2 linked regions of the Oryzias latipes genome follow. The protein of the gene in region 1 interacts with the protein of each later gene in a biochemical or structural test. Links are inferred from orthologs where the notes say so. Each region holds a gene or a part of one and is shown on either strand. Other genes may lie near its edges. The genes, in order: fgfr2 and fgf7.

The links.
Region 2: the proteins of fgfr2 (region 1) and fgf7 form a complex in vitro, tested with the Homo sapiens proteins (3 studies listed by BioGRID). The link is inferred for Oryzias latipes from reciprocal best matches to the Homo sapiens genes FGFR2 and FGF7.

What each region holds. Positions count from the first base shown.
Region 1 is NC_019873.2:29,222,283-29,226,101, reverse strand, and holds part of fgfr2 (fibroblast growth factor receptor 2), read right to left. Parts: intron 1,040-3,819; coding exon 849-1,039; intron 640-848; coding exon of another isoform or gene 501-639; intron 1-500. UniProt on the Homo sapiens protein: Tyrosine-protein kinase that acts as a cell-surface receptor for fibroblast growth factors and plays an essential role in the regulation of cell proliferation, differentiation, migration and apoptosis, and in the regulation of embryonic development.
Region 2 is NC_019861.2:12,854,856-12,859,165, reverse strand, and holds the start of fgf7 (fibroblast growth factor 7), read right to left. Parts: upstream 2,904-4,310; 5' UTR 2,661-2,903; intron 2,342-2,660; 5' UTR 1,990-2,341; coding exon 1,704-1,989; intron 1-1,703. UniProt on the Homo sapiens protein: Plays an important role in the regulation of embryonic development, cell proliferation and cell differentiation. Required for normal branching morphogenesis. Growth factor active on keratinocytes.

The sequences.
Region 1 (3,819 bases):
TGATGTTGGGAGCGAAGATGGAGAAGAGACAAAGACAGATCCCAATGCACCATCAAAACCTGAGAGAACAAAAACCAACGCACCAAAAAAAACACAAAAAGACACCCATCACCTGAAGAGCCTACCAACAGGAAGCACTAATCCAAACACCAACGTGGACACATGCATGGAAAAACACGGACAGCATGGAGAGCACTGTTCACCATCTGGATGGAACTTGCACTTCAAATAGAAGAGTAAAATTAAAAAAAAAAAAGTTATAAAAAGTGAATTAAAATGCTAGTTATGTAGTTGTCAAAGTATGCAAGCCCAACCAGTGCTTCCATGGCAGCACCAGTTCCAACAGGGGGATGAAGAGGGGAAACCTGAGGGGTGTAACACTGGAGGACAGAGAAGATCCCCGAAACCTGGGACCACCACGAGACCACCAGCAGGACCAAAGGAGAACAATAAAGGACCCACGCTGGGGAGGGGGAGGGGGGTCAATGCTCAAAGGTTACCTGGGATGACCGTCAGCCACCCCGACTGGTGGGCCTCCCCAATATAATTGGAGACCTTACAGGTATACTCTCCAGCATCTTCCTCAGAGACGTTGGTGAGGGTGAGCACCTCCACGTCTGAGCTGTTAATGCCTGAACGCTGAAACCCATACACACAATTCAGGAACATCAGACAAACAAGCAGACAAATTCAGGTGGATCGTGTGATGACAGCTAGAGATCCGGGCCTACAGGACACAGCCAAAATCACCGCCGAGAGCCGGCTCGTACATGTGTGAGCACGCAAGTTCACATGATAGACCTTCGTCCATGAACTCAAAACAGAACGCAAACGATTGTGGAACGTACCTTTAGCACTCTGACGTAGGGGTGGCCATCAGGACCCAAGCGACTGCCGTTCTGGGTGATGTGCTTCAGCCACTGGATGTGAGGTTGAGCATCGCTGTAAACTTTGCACACAAAGCGGGCGTCTTCACCAACGTGCACAGTGGTGTTAGCGGGAAGACCAGCCTGGAGAATTGGACGGTGAGGAGACCGCTCTGCAGGGAGAAAACGACCATTTTCTTTTTACTTTTTTGAATATAAACACATTTTCAGAACATAAAGACAAGAGCTTCCAAACCAGGACACCCCAACATTTTTTAAACAAAGTATTACAGCATGTGAACAAGACAAAGGCTACACAGAGAATGATAAGACAAATTTAAAAAAAGCAAAAAATTACTTATTAAACAGGGAAGAATATTATAAAATTTATTAAATTATGTAATAAATCCAAAAACCTGAGGAAAAATATTTTTTACTTTGCATTTTTGTGTAAAAATGTAGGTTTGAAAAAGATTAACACGTTAATCCTAAACTGCAATTTCATAGTATGATGCTGTGGTTATATGTTGTCATATCGTATTTGATATATATCTATAGGAGGTGTTTGTGTTTGTATTTTATTGTAAATGTATTTGTGTTTTTTGAAGGACTACAGATGAAAACTTGCTTTAAATAACCTATTAATCATAATTATTTTAGCTTGGCAGCATGAACTGTCAGGAGTCACCCTGTGTTTTTGTATGTGATGTGTGTTTTCATGTCAGATGGAGGATGCAGAGACCCCTCCCTAAAGCGTGCAGCAGCAGCGGGGGCCGATCCACATGTGAGCCGCTGAAAAACCTTCATGGAATCGTTTGTACGAGTAAACATTTGACCTACGTATCCAAACAGAGCTAGACCTGTGGAACAATGCCCCCTTTCAAACACAAGAGCCTGCCAGCCCCCACCACCTACTGCCCCCAAACACTGCAGGGAAAATGGCATCTAATGGAGGGGCTTCAGTGACCTTCCAAAACAACGACACGGGTGCAGTTGTGGCGAGCAGAGGGCTGGTCGGAGGCGGATCCTGACGACTACAGCCGTTAGACGGATGGAACGCAGATGAAATGGAGGCTCCTGTCAGTCGCATTCTCCCATCTCTCTGAAGTATATCAGAACAGACCCCCACCAGCCCGCCTCCCCCTCCCTCCATCACATTCCTAGAGAGTTCCTTGTTTATTGTCTGTCTTTGTTTACTGCCCCTCTCCAGAGCTTCACAAACAGAACAAGGTTGAGACCTTAACTCTGACAACAGTCGGCGGCTTTCTGCTTTAGTTTCTTTGTGAAAGCCTCTGAAAGTTTCACTAAAACTACTTTGAAAGCAAAAAGAAGACAAATGTGCAAATCTGAGGATCTTAGAAAGAAACCCCGGCTCTAGTTCTGCACTTGAAAGGTTCAGGTCGTCACAGGAACAGCTCTGTAATTCAGAGTCTGGCTGGTGTTTCTCCTGGAAAGGAACATTCTCAGTGCTGTGATGGACAGGACATGTTTACATGTTTTAGGTACCTCACTGGGGGTCAAAGGCATTTTGCTCCAGACTCTTGACAATTGAAAAACTGGATTTAAGACTCAAAAAACCAATTGCTTGATTTTGGAGAGCATCCACCAATAACCAAAGTCTGATCGGTGTTCTGCTAGCAGGAGTCAAAACGCAAAACTTCACTGTTTTACACACTTTTTTATACACCACAGTGGGCTGAACTTCACTGTTCAGTAGCAGGAATCTCTGTCTGAGTCTCATTGCTGGAAGTTTGGATCAAGAGGATCTGGATCCACTTTAGGTCAGAGGATCAATCCAATCAGATCTTTTAAAGGGAATCAAAATCGAAAGGGAATCGACTCGGCAACCATAAATATAGAATCGAATTATTATTTTTACTTGATGGAGAAAGAAAACCCACAGAAAATCTACATGGCATTTTATTTACATATTCAATTCATTTGTGTGAGGAAGCTCTGTAATATTACTCATTTTTTCCGTTTTTCAATGTTTGTGTGGAAGTCCTTGTTTCTAGATATTCAATTTTTTAATTTTACATTTCTTTAGTAAACTGTATTATTCTTTTCTTCTTCCTGGAGATTTATTTCTATCTTTTCCATATTTTTAGGCTTCCCTCTTTATGCTGTGATTTGAAAAACTTTAAGAGTGAAGAGGAAAATGGATGCAACGATGAACTTTAGGATCTGTTTGCATGAATGTTAGGATGAAATTTGGTTTATCACCAAGAAGCTCCGACCAAAGCTCTGTGACGCCGGTCTCCAAACGTAGGAGTGACCAAACACAGTTCCTGCTGCGGTGTCCCGTGAAGCCTGAACTCCGAGTAACCTGGCGGTTTGGCAGACAGGCTCTGAGGTCAGCGAGGGGGGGGGGCATGATGGCACAGGATGGCACGCCTCTTTCAAAAGTGTTTCATTTCCAGGGCGCCACAAATCTAATTGAAAGACTCAAAGTTTGTCCCTTTTGCTGGTTTCTCTGCAGACGTCCAGACTCCAGTCTGAACCAGTGAAGTCAGGCTCTTCCTGAGAGTCGCTCCTGCAGGTTATTTAAACAGAGAGAGGAACCCCCCCCCCCCTCCCTCCCTCCCAATTCTCTGCCCACTGCACTGTAGTGGAGCAGAGAGGACAAAAAAGGTTAGCAGGGCAGAATGGAGGGGCCTTAGTGCTGCAGTAAATATGTGTCTGAGGCAGAGCTAACTGGGGGGGGGGGGGAGGGGGGGGCAATCCCATGGCGATTCCATACAAACGAGAAGCAGAAGAAAATAAAAGGTAGAGACAAAGTCAGAAGAGTGTTGTAAGAACTGGGACGGAGGCTGGACGGGAATCAGACCTTTGCAGCGTCATGTCTGCCGCCCTTATCTGAACGACCGCTGCAGAAAAGCTCCGATATGAACTGATAGCTTCACAAAATGGGCCAAGGGACGCCAAAAAAACCGAGCTGACAAACACGGCTCTG
Region 2 (4,310 bases), on another chromosome or scaffold:
TGCACTTTGTGTTTAATCCAGAATTTTAAATCAACAATATTCCTCTACAGGTTTTAATTTAAGACATGAAACAAGTTTTGTTTGCCAAAATCAGGCTGCTTTTAGGAACCCCAACCAGCGCTTCCTCTGATCTCCTTTGGTTTACATGATAAAACATCAATTATCAAGGCAAAACTAACAGTAGAGCTTCAGCTATTGGCCTGACCTATTTAACTTGACTAAAAAACCTTGGCTTAGCGTTTAAAAAAATGATACGAGGAAAAGGTTGATAAATGACGGTACATGTTTGAAAAGGTTTTGAGAAATGGAGAGAGATGATTGCAGCACAGAAAGCTTTCGAGGCCAATGCTGAGCTGGCTGCTCTCCTAAAGAGGGAAAAATATGTCTCTCCATCTAAACAAAGTTGTACAGTTTTCTGCAATTCTTTCCCTTCAAGATTATTTTTAGGGGTCATTTGGTGTTTTGCGGAATTACCTTTTTTTTACCAACTCCTGTCAAGGAAAACATTTTTATTGAAATTACCTTAAAATGTCCTTTACATTAATGTAAATGTTGCACTTTACAGAAGAAGATTTAATGTCCATGACCTTTCATCTGGGAGGGTCCAGAAAGATAGGGCTTTCCAATTGTGAGAAATTGGACTGCAGTACCATTTTCAGACACTGTGGGTCAGGGTTACATATTTCTTGAACCAAGACAGCCGTCAAGTTTGATGTGGTTTGATAGTTTTCATGTAATTCCCACAATTCTGAGTGAAATGTAAAGACAAGTGGCAGGCATGTTTCTAAGCCCCATTTTACCAAAACCCTAGTCTAGACCTACCCTCCAAGACTCTTTAAAGTCAATGTTTCTGTTAGACTGTTCTAAGAGGGTTTTCATTTTACTTAATGATTTCTTCACTCATATTAACCTAAATAGCAAAAGACGTGAGTTTGGAAAGAGCAGAAGAAACGTTTAGTGTAGGATTCTATGGTATATGATAATATCAAAAATTAAAAAAACAATATGTTTCTTTTACACAATTTGTCAACATGGATTAAAATATACATAATACAATAACTAATTTTTTTAAACCGTTGATCCACGGGCAGCTTCGAGCCAAACTTATTTTTCTCTCAAATAAAACAATTAGCCCCAAGTTGTTGTTCTATTTTTTCTGCTTTACATTGCTAGTTGTTGCACAACCATCCTCATAATGAGGTAGCTCTAGTTCAAGTCAGAATTCCAAGCTCTGCTGCTGTCAGATTAGAGGAAATGATAAGTAGCCAAAACATCCTCACTATGACTGAGACTTCTAGTCATCTCTGTAAACATGAACTTTGAGAAACCTTGGTCACAAGCAACAAAATGGCCATTCCTTGTAGTTTGTAGCAGGTCAATTCTGTCATAAATTAGTTTTATTTGTACTTAAAATGAAGCTTTTAGGTAAATCATTTTTTATGGGAGATTGTTGCTAATAATGTGTAGGTAAGAAAATAAAAAACGTATGAGATAGTAAATCATTCTGACCCAATGTGATTCGCTGCAGGTGACCCTGGGGTCACAGGGACCTGACACTTTTTGGTTTGATAGAATCTCTGGTTTATTTGATTACAAATTTAGGCTTAGTTTTGACCAGCCAAGACCTCCATCTGCTTAACTCCACCTCAGTTACTTATTAAGCTTAAGAAACATTTTAGGTGCAAAAAAAAGTGATTCCTTACTGTAGCAGTTGGTGCGATCTTGAGTCCCACTGATGTTTCCGGAGTCATCGATCTGTAGGAACCAGTTTGTGGCACTGAACAACTGTCGGATGCGCACATCTCCTCCCTCCATGTAATCATAGTTCCTTGTGTGGCGCTCATGCTTGGAGCAGTTCTTGATGGCAGCCAGTTGCTCTGGAGTGCAGTCACCATAGACTACACACACACCACCAAACAGGAAGATTAGATGCAGGTAGAGTCCAGAGAACAGATTTTGAAGGTTCCGTGTCAGCCTCCATTTGCGCATTATAATGCAGTACAGTGGGGCTCAGTGAACAACATACTGAAAGAAATGATAGAGAGCTGTATGCTGTCCCTCAACACGCTGACCCCCTGACCCCTAATTTTTGACCTTGGGGTCCTCGTTTCGCGAGCAGGAATTCCTGGTGGTATGTGTGAGCTTTCGCTGGTCAGAGCAGGAATTCCTGGTGGTATGTGTGAGCTTTCGCTGGTCAGAAGTCTCACAAAAGGACGGCTGATAGTAACAGGAGAGGATGTCTCTAGTTAGTTGTCTGTGACGGTGTGTACTGACCACTTCATCCTTTTTGAGATCACAATTGATGTCATAATCCAAGTTTTAAAAGTTGTATCAGATGCCGCTGTTAAAAACAGAACACTTGTTTAGTTTTTGATAAACATTGCACATAATATTTGAAAAATAAAACACAATTAAATAATTTTCTGAAATGAATAATGTTTAAACTATGTTTTTATGGTGTTTCGCGATAGTAAATCGGAATCAGGCTAGTCTACACTGACGCACACATGGCGTCCTGTCTTAAAACTGAACCAATACAAATATTGCATCAATACTGCTGTCAATTGGGGGGCAGGTCTGTCATCTCTCCTGTCAGCACTATTTCAGTAAATGCAATATTGTATTTCTCTTTCAAATAAAACAATATTTTGATGACTTACATGTGCTCTGAGTGTTGACAAGAGTTTCCAGAGGTTTGTGCCTTTAGAGCCTGAATTTAAATCTGTCGAATCCTTAGAATAAAGCGGTAGCGGTGGACCAAGCCTGGGGATGCAGTACAGCGGAGCAGGAGCTGGCAGTTTCTGTCAAATCCTATGTATGCTTCCCTGATCTTGGTAGGCTCAGTCTGTGCATCCTCCACTGTTGCTGTGCACTCTGCTTAGATAAATGCCTCCTGCTGACCTCACTTTAGAGCAATTAGATCCCAACCAGTCAGCTGTCCCTGGCGGAGATGCGGTGGAGAAACACCCTCTGCCTGCCTCGCTGTCACTCACCCACCCGGCATGAGAGGGAGCTATAAACTCTGGAATACCAGACTTTTCCTGGTATGTGCCCTCAACTACTTTGAGAACTTCAAATCCACACTCATTGTTGCAGAATTTGCTGCGGCATCTGGTAACATCACGTTAAAAAGAAGGTTCAGGCCAATCTTTTAATGACTCATGCTCTCCTCAAACATGATTCAGACATCTGCCATGATGACAAAGCTTTTAGAAATCTGTTATTGCTCATCTCCTGGGTTATTGGGGCTGCACTGAGGCATTGATAAGACTTTATTGAGCTGAAAAACTTCAAAGAAGGTCCTCAATTCTAATTCTTATCGATCCTAATAGTGGGAAGCAATAAGTTATGTTTGGCAGGTCTCCACCCAAGAAGAGAAAAACAGAAGACACTGCTGCTTGGAGGTAGACATTTATACGTCAGGGGTCGTGCACTCTTTCACTTTTCGTGTTTGTATTTGAAGACATAATTTATTGCCCCACATACCTGGCCTTTCTTTAGACCTGCCACTTCAAAAGTTTATGTGGACCCTAATGATTATTTCTCCTGGGAAGGTCAGGACTGCAGCCAGAGAGTGGATGGCTTTAGGCTGCAGCAGGTCTCCGTCTCATTTCTTGACTGGTGGTCGTAAAGACCTTTCAGTTACCGGTCAGACTTGTTCGGCTGACTCTTTCATCATCTTAGAGACATTCTGTGCTGCCACAAAGCCGCCATCAGTGTCTGAAAGTGTGTGCATGGGTGAATGGGACTGTGACTGTAGAGCGCTTTGAGTTTTAAAGCAAGGAAGAAAAGGGCTATATAAGTATATACGATTTACCATTCACCTTGTGCTCTTGACTTCTGAATGCATTAGCAAAAGAAATATCACATTTGCAAACACCTTATTTTGAAAACCATGACCAAATAAGTTACCCTCTTTTTAAGAAGTTTGAAACCTTGCCTGGAATTTGACACTGGGACTCTCTGAAGGCTTTTACTTCTCAATCCCTTTTTAATATGTATTTATTTGTTGCTATTATATATGTCTCAAATATAAGTATATGTCTGAAATAAAATATTGTCATTTTCGTGTAGCCAAATATGTTTGCAGAGCTTATAGTTGTACATTTCATATGAGGGAAATGAGTGATGAATAAAAGTAGGACACCTTACTGAACGGTTGTTGATGTCCTCACCAGAGAATGAGCTATAATAAGGAAAGCCTCAGCGAAACAAAATCAAAAGCTAATTTTAGTTGGCTTCACATAGGTCCCTGTGCTTTTTCATTGTAGTGTCACACAAATTCACATAAAACATACATTAATTATTGA